Caenorhabditis elegans: one gene and its partners. The protein of the gene in region 1 purifies or fractionates together with the protein of each later gene. This does not show direct contact. Each region holds a gene or a part of one and is shown on either strand. Other genes may lie near its edges. The genes, in order: sec-24.2, sar-1, uda-1 and usip-1.

Region 1 (7,998 bases):
TGAAAGCTTGGTTTTTTTCGATTTTCAAGGAACCAAAATTATTTTTTTGCTTGCAGAATGAATAATTAGTAATTAACTTTTTTTCAAAAATACTCCTCGTGCAACTGCGCTCTACCGCACCACCATCCTTTTTCGTTGATTCTACAATATTCGAGCAATTTCTGAATATTGAGCATAATCTTTTTCAGGTGACATTGAAATGAACGTTGCCACATCGAATCCAAATCAAGTGCATCCACATTCAATTGCCGTATTTCCACCAGAAGAACAACAGACAACATCTCGACATTAAACAATATTTCCCCCTCCAACTGAGACCCCCCATTATATAATTCCGCAAGCTCTGTGATATTTGTCTCATTGATCCGGTTATTTATGTCTTTTCCAATCAGCCGGAAAATCATAACGAGTATTTATTTTTGTGTATAATAGTTTTGGTTTTTTGTTTCAAAATTCAATGTTTTTTCAACTCAAAAACCATAGATCCTTGGAAAAAAAACTTGATAATAAAACTGTTCACATGAGTTTTTGCTACAAAAGTGCAAAAAGCAACAAAAAATCGTAATAAATATTGCTATTTTGAAAAACCAAGAAAAAAGTAACATTAAAATCCTAACGGGGGTCGGCTGGATGATTGAACAGGAAATTTGAGGGGAAGGAAAAATGATAATAATAATAATTAGAAATACACTTTGGTATTTATCACTTTATCGATTTTTGGAAGAATTTTGGAAGACGGGCGACAAATAAAATGTATGGTGAGGCAGGGCCAAAAATGGTTGAAATATTTAGAGGATTTTCAAGAGACGGGGAGAATAATCACAACTAGAAAGAAAAAACACAAAATCAATTGATAAACCCATATCCGTTCAACTCGAGCACATTGAAGAAAGAACGGAATTTTCAAAAAAAAAAGAGAAAATAAGAACAATAATAATAATAATTACGGAGAAAGAAAAAACACCAAAGCAAAAAAAGACATGGGACACTGTTGGGAAACGGGAACAAAAAAGAGGGAATGGATATGTCACACGGATGAACTGACTGATGATGGGAACGGCATGGAGGATGAAAATTGATCAACTAATTACCACTAATCTCTCGTTTCAAATGCTGCAGGAATTCTACATATGAATGTGTTGATTCTGACCGATCATCGACAAGTCGCCGTACAAACACGTCACGGAGAGGCGAGTGTTCTCTGCAAAAATTAATTTTTTGAGCAAATCTGATTTTTCCATCAAAGCTTTGAGTGAAACTTTTCAAGAGATATTTCAGATTTTTCAAAGCAAAACTCTACAAAGATTTATGTTTCAAAATACGATACCCGGTCTCGAAGCGTCCTCAAATTCAAATCAAAGCATGCGCCTTTAGGGAGTACTGTAGCTGATAACAATACGTTTTTCACCCGTTTCTTAAATCTTAAGTTATTTTACACATTTGCACAAACTATACGATAAATTCTTTAGAAATGTGTAAAAACGTATACCACGCTCAAAACATAGAGTTTGGAGTAGCCTTTAAAAAATACAGTAGTAATTTTAAAAAGCGTATATCCTTTTTCATTTAAACAAATACTTGGTTGTGTTGAGATCGAAAATCGCAAATTTTTTCAAACGGCTCTGAGTTTTTATTTGGCAAAAAAATTTAGAAAATCAATAAAAACTTTTTTTTCAATAAATGTTAAATTAAAGACTTACTTAATCGTTATTATTGGTCCCAGATAGAATCGGAATTGTGTGACTTGCTTGAAGAACGCGTGCACTCTTCTCGACAATTCATTATCTCTTTCCAGAAGGGAATACTGTAATTTAAAATGTTTTTAAAACTATTCAATTGAAATCTCACCTCATCAATATCATTATACGTAGAAGTTCCGAAAACATTAACCAGGAAACCTGGATCTGCGGATGAAGCCACGTAGACAAAGGCAATAGTACCAGTTATCATCAGATAGACACCTCCACGACTGATATGCTCGAATGATAGTGGTAATGCTGGTGGCGACTGATCTTCTGGCATTGAGGCGAGTTCGTTGAGCCGATAGAGACGTGGATAAATGTCAGACAGAATTTGGTCCAATGGACTGAATCGCATCATCAACATTGCGCCGGCTCGTTCATCTAGGCGGATGCCACGAGACGAGGAGAATGCTGGCTGAAAATTAATTATTTAAATTTATTTAGTTTTTACAAATCAAGGCTTACATGTTTGAGCATAGCCAGCACATAACTTGGGAAGAGCCGAAGATGACCGACACGTGGAACAAGCATTCCACTTCCTCTCGATACAGCCTTCTGATATGCTCCAACACTGTCGACAACTGCATTTACAAGTGCTTCTCTTGAATCAGCAAGTGAACTTCCAGTCATAGATCGTTCTACTCCAATTTTAGCCAGATAGGATACCGTAGCTTTCAGATCAAAATTATTGTAAAGTTGAAGTAGATCACCAGTTGTTGGAAGGCACATTGTATGTACTCGAATACGACGATCACCTTTACTCGATGTATAGAGTAGTGCTGACTGGAAGCATACATATTGCGGAAGCTTCTCTTCGAGTGTCACTTGAGCCGCAAGTGCAGAATCTGGATTCACGTTGGCAAGTGCCAAAAGATCTGGAGATCGGACGAAGAAGTTTCCGTAGAAACCGGTTAGAGCGAGGCCACGAGACGTTCGAATACGAAGAACTGCTTCAAATCCGAGTTTTCGTGTCAAATATCGAGTGAGAGTCCGTTCGAATCGTTTTACTTGATGGATATCATTTCGATAGTTGTAGTTCGGGAAATGGTAGACACATCCTGTCGAGAACTTTGCAATTTCAGCTGAAAATGGAATTATTTTCAATCATTTTGAATTTAACTTTCAAATTTGACAGACAATTTGAAAGCTGCCCCGGATTTGTGGTGTTTCAGACATTTTCTACATTTTTTTAACGAAAAACTGGAATTTTTTCGGATTCAGCATCTACAAATTAACACCTTAAAATCGAGAAAAAAAATTTTGGAAAATCGATCTAACTACGATTTATTAACTGTTTGATTTTTTTTTTTAATTTTCCAGGTATCAAGATAAAAACTGTATTTGCAGAGGTTTTTTGATACACCGAATCTGAAAAATGTCAGTTTTTCGTTTTTAAAAAATTTGACAGCATCCCCTCACCAATAAAAGGAATTCTCCAAAAAAACCTACAAAGAGTTGCCAAATCAGCATATTGCGTGTTGAACATAAACAGATCAAGGCAAATCTGCGATCCGGTGCACTCTAACGATAGAGCTTTGTAGAAATCGGTTGCTGGCCCCAAATTCTGACCACCTTCCGTCGATTCTTCTCTGCTTTTCAGTGCTCCTAATCCAAGATTTGGTAGGCTGACTTGGAAGATTGATATCCTTCCTCCAACTTCTTGTATCATGCTCTGCGCGAGCTTCAATGCAGATCCGAGGCAATTTCCATTTGAAGTTGGGCCGATTTGAGAGTAGAATTCGGGAAGTTGCTTGATAAAAGTTCGAATTGTATCTTTGAATTTCTTCATAGGAACAAGCAGTGATGTGACTGATGGAAGAAAAGCGTCATCGATATCGTCTACAATCATTTCATTCGGATACCGCTTATTACTAGAAAATGAGAAGAAATGCAAGCATTGATCGACAGCAATGAAGCACACTTGAGAACGATCATCTCCTGGCATTTGATCTATATTGATGAGAAGTTGCTCGGCAAATGTGTGTAAATAGCCTGATTGAATTGCTGCAGCACTAATATCAATCACGAATACATAGACAGCAGGTTGAGGTGGACGTAACTGAAATCGCTTGTTTAAATTTAGAAAAACATCGTTTAAAATATGAAAATACCATGTATTCCGATGGAGCAATAAATTCAACCGTCGCATTTTGAATTTCCGGTCTGTTTCGAGGATCTCCGAATGCTTTTGTCACTGGGTCCCAGCAGAAATCATCAGGCACTGAAAACAAAAAATGGTTTTCGCATTTTCTCAATTTCACATTTTTCAGTCAACATACGGTCGTTATTTCTATTACAGAGATTGCATTTCCAGTGTCGATGATCAGGAAGATATACATATGGATTAATATATGTCCGACAATACCGACAACGTACAATATTCGATGTTTGTATAATATTGAGATTCTTAACATCTCGGAACGGATGAAGTGTTATTGCAAATGGTAATCGACTCTTTTTCAGTAGTTCTTCTGTTTGTGGAACTTGGGCGAGTGTTGAGCGGAAAATACTGAAGAGAAAATTATTAATATTTCTAATATCTGCAATAGTAACGATTCTGGATTTTTGCTTGTATAGACTCAAAATTTGGTCAGATGAACCAATTTCTTGATGCGAGATAATCGATCAAAATATGCAATAAAGGATTTAAACTAAATAAAAGTCAAATTCCGACAGCTGCGATTCGAGATTTTAGCTGATATCAGCCAGTAGCGAAGGCATTTTTGAGAAGTCTCACTACGAAATTCGTCCATTCGGCCACATTTTGAGTTTATTTATACAAACAGAATTCCTTCTTCAAGAGAAAATCCTCACTTTGGATCAACATGAGCATTCGGATTCGCGACTTGTTGAGGAATCTGAATCTCGATATCTTCAAAACCAAGTTGTTGAACATTTCTTTCAGCAATCAGATCAATTATATCATTGCGATACCCGCCCATTTGTTGCTGAGGACCAGGAGCTCCGCTCATGTTCTGAAAATCAACTTTATACGGGGAAATAACAAATATGAATAAACCATTTGTCCAAATTGCTGATTCATATTTTGCATTTGAGGTTGTGGGACTTGTGGTTGACCATACTGTGAATTTTGCTGTGGCTGGGGAGGATATCCTTGTTGCTGTGAAGCCGGAGGATAAGCAGCTGGTGCTTGAGGCCGTGGAGCCATTTGTTGCTGATAAGAAGGCGTTGGAGTTGGTGCCGGTGGAGGTTGAGCAGCAGGAAATGGAGCAGGTCGGGCTGAAGCAAGTGCAGATGGGATCGGAGGCTGAATACTTGGAGCTGCTGAACCAACTGATGGTGGTGGAGTTGGAAACGCTGGCGGTCGGGACTGAAATAAAACATTCAATTCTTCTGTATATGCAGTATTAACCATACCACAGCTGGTGGTGGTGGAGCATGATGGCCGTTCATAGAAGGCTGAGTAGCGGGTGAAAAGGACGGTGGTTGATGAGAAAATCCTGCAGAATGAGCTGGAAAAGCTGAAGCTGCAGTTGGATAATTTGGCGCAGCATGGTTATATTGATAACTTGGTGCTCCATTTGGGATTTGAGATACGGGTTTCACCTGAAAATAGAAAATTAAGGAAGGAAATGGAAATATGAAAGTAAAGATGAGAATCAATACATACCGGCTCTTGCGAAGTCGTTGCAGTCGGAAAAGGAAACGGATTGGCTGCATAATTGGGAGGAGCATTATTTAACGGAGCCGCAGATGGTTGAGAAAACTGACTGAATTGTTGGACGTGTTGATATTGTTGATTCTGGTTTTGACCGTACGCCTGCGGAAATCCAACGTTTCCCGGCGCTGTCGGTATATTCGACATCCGTCGATAGCTCGTGTAACCCGCTGAAATTGTATAATGAAATTATATTGCGAGAAAAGAACAAAATAAAACAAGTTCACAACGGTAGATAAATATTTAGCTGACGAGACGAATGAACGTGGCGAAAGAAATTTAATCAATAACTTCAGAGAGTACGGTAGATTTAGATGGGTGCAAACAGAATGACGAACAAATGCACAACTAGAGAAAATCAGTGATCACATTTTTTTCTAATTTTTTTTGCGCGAAAAACCAGCATACTGCTGAACAAATATAATTTATTTTTGGCGCAAATATCGTTTAAATGTTCACTTCAGTTTTTAAAGTCATTATTTTCATTTTCAGCAAAGTTTATAGCGTTTAATAATTAATTGCTCTTGAAATTTGCCTAACTTCGCAACGCTTCGAAATTTCGCGACTCTCTTCTCACCGGCGATCTTTAGAATAGATTTTACAACGTAAACAAAAATATTTATGACAATATTTTCTGATTTTGCTCGAGTATCTCATTGAACACGAAGAATTACGCCATGGAAGGCGACCTCAAGCGCGCGATGCACACAGACACTAGCGTCTCGCGCTCTTTCTCTTTGCCTCGCTGGAAATTCTTTTTCATTTTGCCTTCTTCTCTCGCCACACATTGGCGTCGTCGGTTTCTGCTTCATTGTGAAACGTGGATTTTGCGCTGAAATCAATAAAATCACTGTTTTCTCGCTTTCTCTTTTACTCTTCACTCTCACTCTCAATTTCCACGTAATCCTTGAAATAATTCAGAGGAGCGGAACAAAAAAGAACATTTACTGTACGAAAAATAGGAGAAGAGGTGGAAGAATATCGCCGAGAGGGAGGCCCTCGTATGAACAAAGCGAGAGAAGATCAGCAAGATGTTAAATAATTTTCATAGCGTTCAACACAGGTTTTATTAGTAAGTGAGAAGAAAGTTCCAACTCAGCAATTGGATCAAAAATCGATAATGGAGGGTGTTTTGAGTGTTTTAGTGTAATATAAATGAAAAATTGTCAATTTGATAAAGGTTTCCGAATGTGAAAGCTTCCCCCGAAACTGGTGTTCCTGGATTCTGTAAAAAGTGCGGTTGGCAGAAAACATTGAATGCATACCGTAGTTAGATACGCAGGCATCGCCGCGTTCGCCCGGCCAAGCCTCTATTGGAGCGACCGCCACCACCGCAGAGTGAGAGCGGACACCGTTCTCCAATTGTGTTTCTTAAAATAACAATATTTTGTTACTATTTCAGCCAAACAATCACTTCTGGCGGATGACCGGTATTTTAAATGGTCAGAGTGTTAAAAAGGTACTTTTTGAACCGAAAAAGTGTCATTTAAATGTATCTTGTGTCAATTCTCGAGAGAAATTCCACACAATTTAGTTAGAAAAACTCAAACTTACCTTTTAATAATTTTAAAATCACATTTTGAAAATTTAATTAAATAAAATTACTATTTAGATCAACATAAAAACGGTTTTAATTTTTTAAACTGAAATTCAAAATTTTAAAATTAAAATAAAATAAATTCATAAATTAAAACTATCTGTTGACTTTAATAATTTCAAAAAAAAAAAATTAAAAATGTGGTTATGCCAGTGGCCAGCGTGTATCTCTGATGAAATCATCATCGGTCGCTTCAATATCGATTTTTCGCGGCGGGCCCGCCATCTGCCGTGTACATTGTCGACCACGGACACAGACAGAGCATCATTCATTATTTTTTAACTTTTTCTAACCTACCTGTTAGTACTTTTGTCGGTCGGTGTAAGTTTTCAAGATTTTATCAACACCGAAATTAGATACGGATGATTTAAATCGGGTTTCGTAAGAAGATTGAAAATAAAGTTAGCAAATATTTTCTAAGCTCGTCGTCACAATTAAATCGATAATATGAAACTGAACTCTATAATGAGGCTTCTCAAAAAAATTCCCAAAAATTCTTTGATGGTGGGTAAAAATTAAAAAAAAAAGAGCCATTTTTTGCTAAAATCTAAAATTTCGTCGCCCTGTCCTTGTCGCAGCAGCAGGAATCTAGTTTTTCTCCCCTTTTATTGCATATTTTCTTATAGTGTGTTAATTCGATTAAGCACATTTAAAGTCGATAGGCATTCAATTATCGATTTGAAATGTGCCAAAATCTACGAATTAACGCGATATACGCGACGAAAATATGCAATAAAAGGTTGTTTTGGGTCAGTTTTAGTATTTTTAATCTAAAAAAATTCATTGGAGAATGTTTTAAATAAAATATTTTAATTTCAGTGATGTAATGTCATCAGGAGATATGACATCGGAGTACAAGGACAAACAAGGCGGAGGAGCTGGCCAGCCACTCACAAAGTCTGAAAACAACGATGGAAAAAAGACGTTAACCAATGGAATGAGTCGAGTACATCGAGTGTTAACTGAAGACGAAATTGCCA
Region 2 (4,223 bases), 7.8 Mb from region 1:
AAAACCGCTCACCTCACATTCACTAATCCTAAAACATCGTTATTGATCCTCCGCAAAAGATACATATTTATAGCGAACGATATTATTCGAGCGATTAGCTAAAAGTTCAAATTTTCTGCTCAAATTAATATTTTAATATATTTTTACCTGCCCCCGTACATTATGAACAAGTGACGAGAATAATGACATGGTTTTTATCGCTTTTTAATCTGAAAATTGAAAAAAACAATTCCCGCAAAATTATCGAATTCAAAGTATTTTGACGATAAAACTATTTTAATAGAGTTTACAAGTAAAATATAGATGATGATAAATTCAAAATATTTATTTAAAATTCTATGAATAAAGGAGGTTCCCTTCCCTGATTATTGGATATTCGTAGTGGGTGCACACGAACACCATTGCGTCGAGAGAGTGGAGGAATAGAGAATTGGAGTGAGCTGTGTGCACTCAAATGTACTGCAGAAGCCATCTGTGAGACTACGACGAAAAGGTTCTTCTGGAAAAATAGCCAATTATCTGATCTGAAATTAATTTTTTTTCCGCACCTGAAATAGAAATGTGTCCGTTTGACCACTTGGAACACAAACCACATAATGGAATGTTTGACCATGTCGCCTGACTACAGGCCCTTGTGATCAAATGTACTCCGATCAACAATTTTCTTTTCAAATTCCAAGTTTTTCAGTTTCAGTTATAACTATAGTTAAAGCTCGCCACAAAGAAAACAACTATATGGCGTGACGTTTTTTTTCTTGTGAGTAGCGTGATAAGAGAATAATTTCTGGGAAAACTTCGAACTGCAACATTCCGAAGCTGTTTCATTCACATAGAACTAACCGAAATAAAAAATTAGAAAATCTGAGGGGGAAATGAAGTGGGACGAGAAGAAAAATGGGGATGTTTGAATGATAGTGATGTGATAAATACGGAATAGATGAGGAAAAGGTTTGAATAAATTTTTGTGGAGAATAGAAAAACAATGAGGACGCCGTGAATTTTTTACAAGTCCGTATAAGTCAAAATTTATAAATAAAATAAAATGGGATTGCGGCTTGCTTTTTTATGCACAAACGTCGAAGGCATGAGAAGTTTAATGATGAGGATCCCAAGGATCCCAAAAGAAAAAACGAAGGAAAATGACAAGTACGTACAACAAATCTATGGGAAATGTTGGCGGCGCAATATGTAAGAGAATGGTGCTTTTTTCGAGAATGGAATAAAAAAGGAGTGAGCAGAAGAAGAAGAGTTCAAGAACTGATCTGTTTACAGGTACTGTCCAAGCCAACGGATTCCTTCTCCGTATCCTTGTCGCTGAAGAACAGAGCACATGAACACTTCCATCGGCCGAGAAGCCATTTCGTTGCGGGAAACGTCTCCTATAAAGATTTTCGTTTTTTAAATAAATTCAAGCGATAATTTCCAATCAAAAACCAACCCTTTCCGGTGCACATATGTTGAATGTTGAGTTGCCACTTGAGCTGATCCTCACTCAATGCTCCTGGCTTGTCAATCTTGTTTCCGAGAATAAGCACTGGAACGGAAGCGATCTGCTCGTCCTGGAGCAGCGATTCGAGCTCAACACGGCTTTCTTGCATTCTTTCGGCGTCGGCCACATCGATCAAGAAGACGACGGCGTCCACGGCAGGGAAGTAATCTTTCCAGACTCGTCGTGCTGGAAAAATGAAGAAAATTAGTTTAAAAAACCGAAAAAACGAGTGAATACCTTGCGCGTGACCACCGAGATCGTATGTGGTAAACGAAATTCCTCCGAGTGACATTTGCTCAGATGCTGAAAAATAATCAATTCAATAATTCTCACAACTAGTTTTTTGCGTCATCATCTTTAGCAATTGACAGATGATAAGCAAAACCGGTCAATCAGCTGTAAAGAAGAGAAAGATATCATTTTTTTAAAGTAAGATTCCTTCCTTTAACAGGCTGAACTACACCGGAATTGCTTTTAAAATCAATAAAAAGCGATAATTACTTGGGTGAAGAGTGGGAACGTGTTGAGCAATACGATCATCTTTAAGCATGTGAAGCAGTGTAGTCTTTCCAGCGTTGTCTAGTCCCAAAAATACCAATTTTCCCTTTTTGTTGGCCAATCCTGTAAATAAAAGGTTTTATGATGGTAAAATTCAGTTTTACAAACCCAGCATGTTGAGCACTCCATTAAACCAGTCCCATAAAAACGACATATTGAATCTGGAAAATTATGCAATTAATTTATTAATTAAATCACTTAAAAATCGGGTAAATCAGGCATTTTTTAGAGAATAAATGAATGAACTGAAATAGATCAAAAGTGGGAACTTTTAGTGGTTAAATGGGGGTGAGAAAAGAGGAAAAGAGAGAAAATAACGAGGCGGAGACATTCTGTGTAGCGTGCTACACAGAGACAAAACGACACGCGCTTCCACGTGTACCCGAAAAGAGAAAAGAGACGCAGTGTGATAATCAAAAAATTCTAATTCTGAAAATCGGCGATTCGGGACCAGGAAAGCTTCATTTAAAGTGAATCCGGAAAGCGCTGACGTGTCCAAAGTGGCAGATGGTCGAGAAGTGCGCCAGCGTCGGGAAATGCGTCAGTAAGGATGAAAGGCGCGCTTTCCGTGCGGAATGGAGAAAATACGCTTAAGCTTTAAATAACAATTAAAGGCATGCAAAATTCGACAAATATCACAAATTTTAAGTAGAGACGAAACATAATGGAAAGACAATTGGCATTTACAATGTAAAACTCCTAAATTTCAACAATAATCGGTGGAAAATTAAATTTTCGTTTAAATAAAAAGTTTAAAGAATAAAACTTACGCGCCAAAACTCCTTTTAATGAAAAATGTTCAGATCACTTCGAAAAATCGATTTTTGAAACTGATTCGAAAAAATTTAAATGTTGAAAAGAGTTTTTATGGCATGGTTTTTTCTCGATAAAAAAGAAAACGTGAAGGAAATGTTTTTCTTTTGAAATTATTCATTGAAATTTGAATTTATAAAATAGTAAAACTTATTCAGCTACATTTGGTCTCGACACGCCAGATAATTTGTTTAATGCCTCAAAAAAAGCGTGCGCCTTTAAATACTACGGTATATTTCTTCGATTTTAAATCCGCTCAATTTTTGAGAAACTGAAAAATGAAATTTTTAATACCATGGGAGAAACTAATACCGCGACCCGAAGGTTTGTCATTTTTGTGGCAAAATACGGTATCCGGTCTCGACACGACAATTTGTTGTTAATTGCAAAAAGGTGTGCGCCTTTAAAGAGTACTGTAGTCTCAAACTTCTGTTGTTGCACAATTTTCATTGTTTCTCATATTTTTCTTAAAAATAGGTGTATCAATTATAAAAAAATATAAAGTAGAGTTTCCTACCGTCCAATGTAGGCTATGCCAACACGCAAAATTCACGTTAGTTTGAAAGTTTTCATTTTCAAAAAAAAAATCAAGTTCATTCATTTATTTTTTTTTTCGAACTTTATTTTAAGCCAGTCGGAGTAGGTCGAGCCGTAGGCTCGAACGACACCGGCTGGTCAATTATAAAAAAAAACACACATAAATATTATTTAGCAAATCGCGAGTAAAACTGCAAAAAATCGATGAAAATTCCGCTGCACCAAAAGTTTCAAACTACAGTACTCCTTTAAAGGAGTACACCTTTCTGTGTTTAACAAAGATAGTCATGTCGAGACCGGGTACCGTATTTTCGCCTCAAAAATTACGATTTTTTCGTTTTTTTTTAACTCAAAAACCTGTAAAAATATTTTTTTGACAGGAAAAATTAAAAATCCGAAAACTACTGTATTTTTAAAGGCACATAACTCATCTCTGCAGTTTCAAACTCATCTCTGCAGTTTCGATTCAGTAATTTTCGGCCGTGTCGAGACCCGGATTCTTGTTTTCCCTGAACAAATAAAAATTAAACTTTCTAAAATCACCATTTTATTTGAAATTAGACAATTTCAGTCAGTGAATTGTTGTCTACTACTCACGAAAATGACATAATAAAATATATATAAGAGAAATAAAATAAGGCAACAGTATATACAGACAAAGGAAAGAACGAGGCAAAAAAAAGACGAGAATTTTGTGATGTTTTGAGCAGATTTGTCGAGGGTGGTTGTTGGCGAACAATCAAAACGAGATCAGAGCAATGGGGCACCTATGGGGGAACTAAAAAGAAATTTAGTGGGTGCGGTATCCACCATCTGGCTTGGCTGG
Region 3 (5,585 bases), on another chromosome or scaffold:
AAGTTTTGTAATGTGATTATCATTATTCGATATTTTACTCAAACATACCTCTACTTGAAAATAAAACTATATGTCTCTATTAGTTTTGCACCTCAATTTTCAATTTTCTGCTCATATTACGGGAACATAAAATTCTGAGAATGCGTATTGCGCATCATAATTGACGCGCAAAATATCCCGTATCGAAAACTACAGTAATCCTTTAAATGACTACTGTAGCGCTTGTTTAGAATTTGATTTTGGAAATGTAAAAAATTAGTTTCTTCGTAATATTTCTTTTTTGCTTGATTCTATCGATAAATCCATTTCGAAAATCGAGCCCCTAAATCGACATCTTGTGATCATGGTAACCGATAGATTTTCAGATTTTCAAAAATTTATAGATTTATTGAAATACGCTTATTCAGAATTGAGCGCTGCCAAAAAAAGTTACGTTTCTAGCAAATTGAAAATTCCAGCTTTCTTCGCAATATATTTATATATATTGCGCAATATTAATAGCCCCTGAACGAAAGTAAAATCTACCAAATACAATAACTTATTTAAACTGGAAAACTAAAAATGTTTTACAACAAATATTCAAATGTTAACATTTCAATTATAAAATGTTTCATATTTTATCACTCGGATTGTTCACTAGATTCTCTATGTTTTTCCCTAACTGATTGACTTTTGGATGTATGTATGTACAAAACAGAAAAGGAATGTATTTTATTGAGAACAAGGCAATGCCGCAAAACTAAATGAATTATATAACATGGGTAAAATTTAAAAATAGTTCAAAAGTGAACATATGAAAACTCGTAGTCTGATTTCGAATCGATGATGGTTTAGGATGTGGTTGCATAAAAGGTCTACCCGAATAAGAACGGTAAGGAATGGAAAATAATCACAGAATTGAAGGTATTAGACGATGAGGTTAGACGGAAATAATATTAAAATATGAGAGTACTTGATTTGTGCCTGAGTACACTAAATCAAAGATCTGGTCAACTACTGTAGAGTTTGGTTCCGATGAGAGTGCAGTTTTGATTGCTCCTTCTGTTAGCTGAAACTCGTTGGCAGTTGCAAATGCAAGTCCTTGTCCCCATGAAACCTCCATTCCTTTTATTTTCTTGGCCAACTGAAACAAGATTGGATTAGTTTCAAAAGGTTATTTTTCATAGCAATATAATAATTGAAATAATGACTTACCACGAGAGGCTGATTATCTTCGAACTGATATCCATCTCGCAACAGAGAGTAAATATATGTCAAATCAAGACACTGCCAAGGCATCCAGTGACTTCCATCGTCGATTTCAGTTTTTTCCCTTCGGCAAGCAATTTCCGCAGCTTCTTTGAATTGCCTCAACTCGATCTTTCCACCTTCGTTTCCTTTAACAAGTCCACTGTTCAAAGCACGATCAAAGAAGTACGAGAATAAATAAACTGGAGATCCCTTCAATTCTCGCAAATGCATGATTTCACTGGATTCTACAAAATTCTTTGTGGTACCATAGCAACTTTCGAAGGAGTGCGATGAAGAACCACTGAAAATTTAAAACTTAATTTAATGATCAACAAAACACGCATTTCTTACTTGATATTCCAAAACTTCAATGCATACTCCCATTCTGTCAGCTGATATCCTTCAGGCATACAACTTGTGATCAATTGATGAGTTGATTCGATTTCATTATCAGTTTCTAATTGAAGAATGTTCAATCGTGCAGCAATCAATCCATTTCCAAGAAAACTATGAGTGAAAAGTCGAATATGATGTCCGAAGAAATCTATATCTCGTTCATATCCAACATGCTCCGAAAAAACAGCTTCATTATTTGGCCAATAGGTGAGCTGGGTAGATCCTCCACCTAAATCGAATGCAGCTACTGAACGATGTGCTGCTGGCTTATGACCGACGGTAGGCTCATCTGAAATATGTTTTTCACTTATTAATATGATTTAATTGAATACTTGGTTTTAGATACCGTACTCGTAGATATTTTAATGAAATGTAATATTTGACTAGTTTGATGTATTAAACTATTTTCGATTAAAACTAGTGACGCATTTCTTATCACATTTTTATTTATGCTTCGGTTCTTCTTCTTTTTCTTGTTTTCGAAAGTCGTTCGAAAATCATTTTCAGACGTCAACGGAAAACTAGAAACTTTTTTGAAAAAGTGTGGTTTATCTCGGAATGACTTGTTGCAGATTCTCCAACGCAATGCGAAACAAATAATCTTTTTTTAAAAATTATTTGATGATTTGATATTTGACCCTGATAATCTTGAATGATATTTGCTTGCATAGCCTACGTGCTAAATTTCAAATGACACACTGTTCAGGATGCTCCTAAAGTAAATAGAGGCAACAAAATGGAAAAAATAGCTCACCGGTGAAAAGAGTTTCGAGAAGAATATTAAGTGTGAACCAGCTGTACACACCCTCATCGCTGCCTGGCATTACATTAACGGCATCCGGGAAAGCGGCAAAAAATCCACTGTTAAATATCCGCTCTTCTACACTTTCAAGAATATCGTCGGCCATATCTCCAGGTAGAAGACGTAGCCCAGCTGTGGCTTTCAATGTGATCGGCGTCTTTTCCCACATGAAATGAGGAACTTCTTTTCGAGCTCTTTGAAGAAGTGGCTCCAGTGAATCAGCGGCAGAGCTCGGAGATTTCGCAAACGAAGAAAGTCCTGGTTTCACCTTAAAATTGAAAATAAGGTTAATATAACATTTATCTTATTCAATACCTCTTGAAATATCTCTTTTTCAACCTTAAAAGGCATACCATGTGAAGCTATTGCGGGATCATGAATAAATTTATATAAATGTAATCGTGTTCCTGTGGATCCTGCATCAATTACTATCGTGAAGAATCGACATGTGTGTTGCTAAAAATAAATTCATTTTAAAATGTCGCTACAAACTTCGCATCAATTTCTTATCATTTCTCTCTGTCTTTTGTGAAAGATTTTTCATCGGTCAAGCAAAACTTTGTGTAAAAAGGTATCGCTTGCATCCATCTCTTTCAAAGAACAACAACGTTTTTCCGTAGACTTCGTTCGATATTTTTCTATTTTGAGATCTGAAAACAGGCAAAAAAAACTCACATTGTTTAGAACTCCGTCGCCATGACACCAGTATTGGGTTTTTGTTGTTACCACAGATAAAAGTGAGAAAAAGGAAATGAGAAGAATTGAAAAAGCAGGGAATAGCATGACGTTGATTTTCGTTATGTGTCGCGAGTAATAAAAGAAGCGAACCCGACTTCAAGAATCACAGATTATCGATTTAGGCAGGGTAGAGATCTCCTCTATAGAGAGGAAATGGAATGAGGTTGCTCGAAGGCGGAGTTCGCTTTTTTCACATTTCACAATATTATCAAACTGACGAAGAAGAAGAAGTTGGTGAAAACGGTAGTGTGGGGAAGTCTGTAAAAAACCGTTTGTCAATCAAATAAACAGATGCGGGAAAGTCGAGAAAAGAGCAAATAAATGGGAAGAGGACAAGTGGAATGAGAGATTGACCTAAAAATGACTGGTTAAAAACAGAAAGTAGGAGGAGAACGATAATAATTGTGTGACAACGTGAAATTTGTAGTTTATAGTGTAAAATAGAAAGTGTTGCATTCATGTGATTTTTCTTTAGCCTTTGGTAATGAAAGAAACATGTGAATAAATGGAGGAATATGTGTACCAGCAGTTGTGACAGCCATTTGGGGTGCAAAAACCAAAAAAGAATTCGATTGAAAATTGGAAAATAAAATAGTTTAAAATACACTCAAAATAATAAAACTGCGTGGCGTGTACTGCAGAAAACCTCATATTTAGGCCCCGCCTTTTTCTCGTCCACTCACGGAGAAAAGGCAAAAATTTGGGGACCAACCAATATCAGGCCGCCGACATCCTACGGGTTCCGCGCGCCGCTATGTTTAACTCGCAGCGGGCGTGGTGAGCTGTCTCCGCCCGCTGCGAGTTAAACATAGCGGCGCGTGGAACCCGTAGGATGTCGGCGGCCTGATATTGGTCGGTCCCCAAATTTTTGCCTTTTCTCCGTGAGTGGACGAGAAAAAGGCGGGGCCTAAATATGAGGTCTTCTGCAGTACACGCCACGCAGTTTTATTATTTTGAGTGTAATATAGCTCTAAATGAGAATTTCTCATGAATTATTTTATGAAATAACGAGAAAAGTACTATTCGTGAGAAAGAAACGAAAGACGAATATGGTGAAATTGAGAGTTTATGATTGCTGATAAGTTATTCTTATTCTGATAACAACTCTGTTTTTTTTTCAGTTTTCATACTTTCATGGGAGAACACATGGTAGTTTTATCAACCAGTGAAGCAGAGCATTCCCTACTTTGAGCTTGGTATTTTTAGACTAGTTTTAATAATGCTCAGACATGTTTTTTCATCAATATGTCCGCGACAGACAGAATTTTATCAAAGACGAGTGATTGACATCAACGAGACGAATTGAATGGACAAAGAAAGTTCAAAAACGCAAACGTATGGTTGTATGGTGTCAAATGTTTATTGCTCTTATTGATGATGGTGTAGAGGATTTAAAAATGAGATGTAAAAGAGATTGAGAGAAAGCTGCTGGTGAAGAAATTGAAAAGATTCGAAAAAAATTATCTGTTGGGGTTTCCGAGAGGAGTACACGTAGTGCAATGCATTTACGCTCCAATGGATATGCAAGAGAGATTGGAGGCGGTGAGAAGTCAGACATAACCATATATGGTTTAACTTGACGAATTTTTGGAAGATTGAGATGAATATATATTAATATTAACATTATTCAGAATGGTTGATCAGAACGTTCATATTTATATTTATTCTCTGCTTCTCTGAAAGACAATAGTAATCACAAGAGAATGTTCTTCAGTTAGCATAGAGAGTAGGCAACTGAAAAAAGCTTATTGATAATATAAGTTTCGTTTGTTCAATATTTATTGGGAGTTTCAAAAAATTGTTCAAAAGTTTACCATTCTTTAAAATTGATTAAATATTACTTTAGGATATCAGGTTTTTACTATAAGAAAAATAATGTAATCACTATATGTATAGTACTATACCTAGTTTATGAAATGTTCTACTTTTCCAACCGATAAGACAAACTAAAATGAGAATTGGAAAGAACAATCATGTCAGTCGATTTTGTAGCCAGCCGCTGAAAAAGATGACGTCTCTTTGTAGAATTCGAAGAAGATGTCCGGTGCGTTTAGAGTACCGGCCACAAACTGGTTTCTCTCACCCTCTTGTGTCCACTACATCCCTCTTCTGTCACTCATATCTCATTTTCCTTTCCGACAGCAACGATCTAACATTGCAAAAAAGATGAAAAAAACGAATGGCAGATGCAGATGCAAATGCAAAAGGAACCAATTGTAATGTAACAGACAAAGTACGTTTATGAAAAGAACGTAGTATTTTTAAGTACAATTGAGAATAAAAGTGGTATTTAGAAGCATGTGGAGCCGGAGAGAAAATGGAGAGAACATAATAAAAAGCGAAATTTATATTAAATATTCATGAACATATGCATTTATTGTATATTAGCCTGTTTGTTCGAGAAATATGGAAATCGTAG
Region 4 (5,370 bases), on another chromosome or scaffold:
ACTTTGTGTTGAATACTCGAAATCAGAATCTGGCCCACCGGGACAATAGACACAAATGTTTCCAGTGAAATTGATGTGAGGACAACGATGTGGTTTGCTCATCACTGCTACAACAGCAATTCCAGAAGCAGTTCGAACTGGTTTTGCCTTGAGTTTTGGAAGAAGGCTGTCTTTGTAATCGGACGGAACTCCAGCGATAATGTCAACGAGTTTCGGTTGAAAACTCAGTCCATTCTTTTGAGCAACCTGAAAATATTTATTGAAATGTGTTTTACCGCCTAACCACATACGATGCATTTCAGCCGATTCAAGTTGACATCCTTTTTTTGATTGTGAGCTTCAATAAGAAGCTTGACAATTTCATTTATTGTTTGTGCCAGTAGTGCTCTTTGTGAACCCTTCTGATCCATCTGAATACAGTTTTGATACATTTCCTATTCAAATTGATGTTTTAGATATAAATTGGAATATTAACCGACAATGAACTCAAAAATCGCTTTCAAGATGACCAGTGTATTTCAAACTTAGAAATTTCGATATACATAAATAGAACACAGACCGAGAAGTGATCATGAAAGTTGGGTGTTGAATATAATAAAGCGGAAAAATTATTTGTTGAGATTCAATGGAAAATGGTCACTGGGTGACGTGTCAGAAAAATACCGGAATAAATATGAAATAAAATATATGGTGGATCATACATACAAATCGAATTCATAGAACACTTATACATTGAGAACATGATTATGGCCAAGTTGGGGCTGCAATTGGAATCCTGGAAATGGTTTGAACGCCATTCTTCTCGAGGTCATCGTAGTTATTGTTAATGAATTGATCAATCAAAAAGTGGATTGCGTCGCGAACTTCGGAAACTTGACCACGCATTATATCGATGCATGCCAACCTAATTCTGGTGCCAGGAACAGTGCTCATCGAGATACGCAACTCCGCAATATCTTCTTCGTAATCGTACTTGTCACTGCACATAACATCAATCTGGAGAGGCGTCAAATCGTGACGAGAGTTTTTCAAAGCGCGTTTCGTATTGCGACGTCCAACCCAAGCTCTTGAAGTTACAAGGAAAATGGCACCCTGAAATTAATAGTAGTTGTAAACGTCACATTCTTTCTATTCTATAGAACTAACCGTTGGAGTACATAAATCAACAACACTGGGTCCTTGCTCATTCGGACAGACATTAAAGCGAAGAACTCTAGTAAGAAGGAGGAAAAGATCACTCGAGGTTATCACCACGGCTGGAAGTTGTACTGACAAGTACTGGTGCTCGGCTCCATCAGTTACTCTAGTTGATATACTGATTTTTGGCTCTCTGCTCTTCATAAGCATAGTAGCCATCGTGTTGGTTTCCAGAAGATAGTTGATGTGAAAATGATTTTGTTTCAACTGAAAATATAACTTTTAATCCATAAACAATCAAAATAATGCTTACAATGAAAAGAGCGTTCCGAATAAGACCATTTAGTAGTTTGACCGCGTCTTCTGTTACTTTTGCCGAAATATTATGAGTAATATCCATGGGATCCATCAACATCAACGGAGATTCTTCAACGCCTCCGTGCGCACTTGAGAGTGTTTTTCTAAAAAAAAATATACAAATTAGTTGTGAGAAATTAGTTTTTAACTTACTTTTGCATCGCTTTCTTCCCGTAAATCGCTTTGTTCGTAAAATCAAAGTTGGCATAGTATTTGAAAAGCTCTCGGAAAAACTTGCAATAATCGCCGAACAGAGTGTCAAAGTTGTATTCATTGACTCGAGAATCTCGCTTTGCTTGAGGATTCACATGAACCTTGTTGGTTGCTGCTTGAACAAAATGAATAACGAGCTGATTGATGATGTAAGAGTTCAGCTTTGTCTTGACTTCAAGCTTCTCTTCCTAAAATAATGAAGTTTAAGAACTGCCTAATTCAATATATAATTACCGGATAGTCACCCGATAGCAACTTATTTGATTTTGCCCAGTGTACGATGAACATCATTGCATTTTTCATTCTACTTCCCTTCGACTTGTCTTTTACGATGAATTCATGCAACAAGCTCGCCTTCTCAACACTGATTTGATTGTGAACTGATAGATCGTATGACACCTGAAATGAATGAATTATCAATGTTTGAAAGCGTCAACATACATTCATTCCTTCCACTTCGATATTTTTGAAGACTATGATTGGAGTGCGTGCAGGTAAGAAACGCATCTCGAATTTAGTTTTGAATGCACTGTTCTCGTTGAAGCACCGGTAGAGAATTTTGATAATTTCCTCTTGTGGGTATGTCTCAAGCTCCGATTTGGTTAGTGGATGAGTGATGAGACACTGTAATTGTATATTGTTTCAGGACAATTTACAGTAATTTTTGTACCTTTGGATTTGCCACAACTTCGTTCAATGGTCTTACATTTGTAGAAACGCGTTGACCTGGAGCGCTGACTGATTCCACGTTAATGTCCTAAAAACATTATTGTTTCTTAATAAAATAAAATAAAATTATTTTTCTAACAACTTACAATGTCTGAGTAACCATTTCGCCGCACCGGTGATGCAAAAGAGCCGAACATCTCACAAGCAGAATTTTGAATGAGCTCAGAAACCCCTTGTTCAATGAAGGAAAATCCATCTTCGAGAATTTTTAAGCGTTCAGGAAGTTCTTGACAGATAGCCATTGTCAACACTTCCAAAAGCTCGTCGTTATTGAAGTGCGGTTGCGAAGTTTTCATGAAATCAATGGCATCTTGAAGTCTGAATCCGTTCAAGCCTAGAAGGGGAGTGAACACGATTTTCGTCTGAAAATAAAAGGAATTGTATACAATCAGCTAAAAATAATTATTTACATTGTTGATTGCAAATCCTTTAGCGATGGAATCGTGGCAAATCCTGTTGGCTTCATCTATTGATTCCATTTGCAATATCATAAACTGATCTTGATCTTCAGGTGTTGGAGAGTATCCTATTTTCTCCTAAACGGTTTAATTTCAAATGCTTGTTTTCACAGCATAACAATATTTTTTACCTTACAACCAAGTTTATACTCAACCGACTCCACGAAGACAACGACAGCAATTGCAGAAGGAACCATAGCTGTCGTATCATTTCGATTCCAACGAGCAACAACGAATTGACGACTATCAAACGTTTCAACCAGTTGCAAGTTTGAAGACATTATCGCATAACTGAAATATCTGGAAAAATATATAATTTTAGGTAAACAAAGAGGATGGAGAATGGAATCATGCGTTGCCATGGAATCGAATACACTAGGGAATCTTCGTCGAAAATTCGAGCAAAACAATTTTCATTATAATAAACAACACATTGCATTTTGTTATAGGTTACAAATTAATTGGAACGTGCGCATTCAGGGATTTAAATTTTGCGTTTATCAGAATAATAATAAAAAAAGAGTAACAAATTTTAAATAGATTCGCGCAATAAAAAAGTTTTTCGAAAAATGACTGAAAAACTGAGTTGATAAACTACACGCGCATCGTTATATCGGAGTGTCGTAAGTGGCGGATTTTCAAATAAATTTTTATTGACAAATTTTAGTTGTGGACCTAGTACTAGTATGTATTTGTCTAGTAAGTTTTCTCTGCATTGCCTTTCTAAAGGGAAAAAGTTGTTTTTAAAAAAAATTATTAAATAAATTTTATAAAATTGTCTTAGAAATTATTTGCATTGATTGATCAGAATCCTTCTAATCAACCAAAACTTATGCCTGCTTAAAAATTATAAACATCATTCCATAAACATCGGTCTTTCAAAGATTGAATTTGAATTAATAATATTTTTTATTTGGAATTGAGTTCGTCTACAAACGAAAAAATAAACGGAAATTCGATTCTGATTGCTGGGATTCGAATAAAAGGACAAGCATAACATAAATCGGAAATCGAATTTAGTATATAAATGTAAAAATATCAAAAATGTACAAAGATGTTCCTTTTGGTTATATTTATTCTACACTATGTGCTCGCTTTTCTCGGAATTGTTTTCAATACGATTTTGATTTTTCTAACTTTATTCAGAAGCCCTAAATCTATTGGAACATTTTCTATATTATTGACTGTCAGAGGTGGATCTGATGCACTTGCTTGTTTTTTTGATATTTTCAGTCAATCAAGGTAATTTCCAAATTTTATTTTGCATTTCCTAGCAATGCACCATGTTCTCGATATGCTCTAGTTTCTTCCAATAATGTCAAAATTAAGCAGGGCCGTTTTCATGTTTTCCACGCTTATATATAATTCATGAGATTACACTTTCAAAAAAGAACCCAAATTTTTTCTTTATACTCCAATGGCGAGTTGAGCTATATATAATTAATTTCAGATTAATCCCAAGTGGTACAACACTTGGAATTGCTTCAACTGGACTTTGCAAATATCTCAGTGAATGGTCTTGTTTTCTGGGTTTCAGTCTTCAACTTCATTTTCATTCATATTCTTTTCATCTTCTAATTCTCTGTTTTATATTCCGATGTTATGTTCTTCTGGAAAGATATCCAAAAGCTAAACAGCTTATCATTTTAATTTGCATTATATACTTCCCATCATACTTGCAAGCAATTTTCGTATTCATTGATAACAACAAGCCAGAAGATGTTCGACAACTTATTCAAATTCATCATTCTCAATATAAATTACAAGATTTTGTTATAAATGGACATGCTGATCTTCGAGAATTTCCGTGTTTGTTTTCATATCTTCTAATGCTTATTCCAATTATCCCTGGATATTTGATTATGTATGGGCTCCGCCGAAAAATACACTTCAAGTTACGAAATGCAATTCTCCGTCCGGAAATTCGAGAAAAACATAGACAGCTGACTTGGGTTAGTCTGAAAATGTAAATTATTTTGAAATATGATTTATTGCAGGCACTGACAGTTCAGACTATTGTTCCAATTGCTTTTATATTCTCATCAATTTGTTTCCTACTTGGTCAGCTGAGGATCGTTGAATCTCCAGTTCTTGAAAGTTTCACACTTCTTTTTGCCGTTTTGGTTCCCGTTATCAATCCATTGATTACCGTTACTTTTATCAAACCGTATCGAGAATCTGTCATGAGAGCAGTTGGAATTGATCCTAAAATTTTGATTTTCATGTCACGAGAATGTTCTGTTGCACCTGGTGATACAAATTCTTCAATGTTTGGTAGTTTTGATAATTCATCAGTTGCATCAGTTACATCAAAATTCACAATTACATTGGAGAAAGGCACATTTGACTGAATATTCCAATTAAACTTTTTAAAAAGTATTTTTCATCCACCTTGTGAAAACGACTCATTTGATCTCAGTGATGATCATGTTTTCTATTTTATAAAAATTTTATTGGATGAACTTATTATTTACAT

What was found.
Region 2: the proteins of sec-24.2 (region 1) and sar-1 fractionate together in Caenorhabditis elegans (co-fractionation; one large-scale study listed by BioGRID). This does not show direct contact.
Region 3: the proteins of sec-24.2 (region 1) and uda-1 fractionate together in Caenorhabditis elegans (co-fractionation; one large-scale study listed by BioGRID). This does not show direct contact.
Region 4: the proteins of sec-24.2 (region 1) and usip-1 fractionate together in Caenorhabditis elegans (co-fractionation; one large-scale study listed by BioGRID). This does not show direct contact.

Annotation. Positions count from the first base shown.
Region 1 is NC_003282.8:12,355,202-12,363,199, forward strand, and holds sec-24.2 (uncharacterized protein), read right to left. Parts: upstream 5,592-7,998; 5' UTR 5,569-5,591; coding exon 5,374-5,568; intron 5,310-5,373; coding exon 5,121-5,309; intron 5,074-5,120; coding exon 4,762-5,073; intron 4,718-4,761; coding exon 4,557-4,717; intron 4,252-4,556; coding exon 4,022-4,251; intron 3,964-4,021; coding exon 3,854-3,963; intron 3,802-3,853; coding exon 3,192-3,801; intron 2,825-3,191; coding exon 2,208-2,824; intron 2,158-2,207; coding exon 1,849-2,157; intron 1,805-1,848; coding exon 1,701-1,804; intron 1,202-1,700; coding exon 1,084-1,201; 3' UTR 501-1,083; downstream 1-500. Other genes in the region: best-22 (Bestrophin homolog), read left to right, coding at 189-292; ZC518.8 (Glutathione S-transferase), read right to left, coding at 6,563-6,646, 6,687-6,707.
Region 2 is NC_003282.8:4,511,112-4,515,334, forward strand, and holds sar-1 (Small COPII coat GTPase SAR1), read right to left. Parts: upstream 2,209-4,223; 5' UTR 2,202-2,208; coding exon 2,156-2,201; intron 2,111-2,155; coding exon 1,991-2,110; intron 1,793-1,990; coding exon 1,727-1,792; intron 1,676-1,726; coding exon 1,439-1,675; intron 1,380-1,438; coding exon 1,267-1,379; 3' UTR 782-1,266; downstream 1-781. Other genes in the region: rfth-1 (Man(5)GlcNAc(2)-PP-dolichol translocation protein RFT1), read right to left, coding at 13-98, 148-189; ZK180.8 (uncharacterized protein), read right to left, coding at 329-472; ZK180.5 (Prion-like-(Q/N-rich)-domain-bearing protein), read right to left, coding at 4,188-4,223. UniProt on the Caenorhabditis elegans protein: Small GTPase that cycles between an active GTP-bound and an inactive GDP-bound state and mainly functions in vesicle-mediated endoplasmic reticulum (ER) to Golgi transport.
Region 3 is NC_003283.11:10,002,594-10,008,178, reverse strand, and holds uda-1 (Nucleoside-diphosphatase uda-1), read right to left. Parts: upstream 3,425-5,585; 5' UTR 3,212-3,424; coding exon 3,104-3,211; intron 2,885-3,103; coding exon 2,744-2,884; intron 2,697-2,743; coding exon 2,381-2,696; intron 1,916-2,380; coding exon 1,582-1,915; intron 1,532-1,581; coding exon 1,195-1,531; intron 1,124-1,194; coding exon 920-1,123; 3' UTR 697-919; downstream 1-696. UniProt on the Caenorhabditis elegans protein: Hydrolyzes UDP and GDP but not any other nucleoside di-, mono- or triphosphates. May promote reglycosylation reactions involved in glycoproteins folding and quality control in the endoplasmic reticulum.
Region 4 is NC_003283.11:12,181,001-12,186,370, forward strand, and holds usip-1 (U6 snRNA-specific terminal uridylyltransferase), read right to left. Parts: upstream 3,195-5,370; 5' UTR 3,176-3,194; coding exon 3,026-3,175; intron 2,973-3,025; coding exon 2,847-2,972; intron 2,799-2,846; coding exon 2,523-2,798; intron 2,465-2,522; coding exon 2,378-2,464; intron 2,332-2,377; coding exon 2,149-2,331; intron 2,107-2,148; coding exon 1,942-2,106; intron 1,896-1,941; coding exon 1,648-1,895; intron 1,599-1,647; coding exon 1,451-1,598; intron 1,405-1,450; coding exon 1,147-1,404; intron 1,093-1,146; coding exon 745-1,092; 3' UTR 501-744; downstream 1-500. Other genes in the region: elpc-3 (Elongator complex protein 3), read right to left, coding at 1-246, 291-410; srd-4 (G protein-coupled receptor), read left to right, coding at 3,949-4,136, 4,345-4,846, 4,892-5,245. UniProt on the Caenorhabditis elegans protein: Acts as a specific terminal uridylyltransferase for U6 snRNA. Responsible for the addition of UTP at the 3' end of U6 snRNA which stabilizes U6 snRNA. Does not have activity towards modified uridine containing 3'-monophosphorylation or 2'-O-methylation.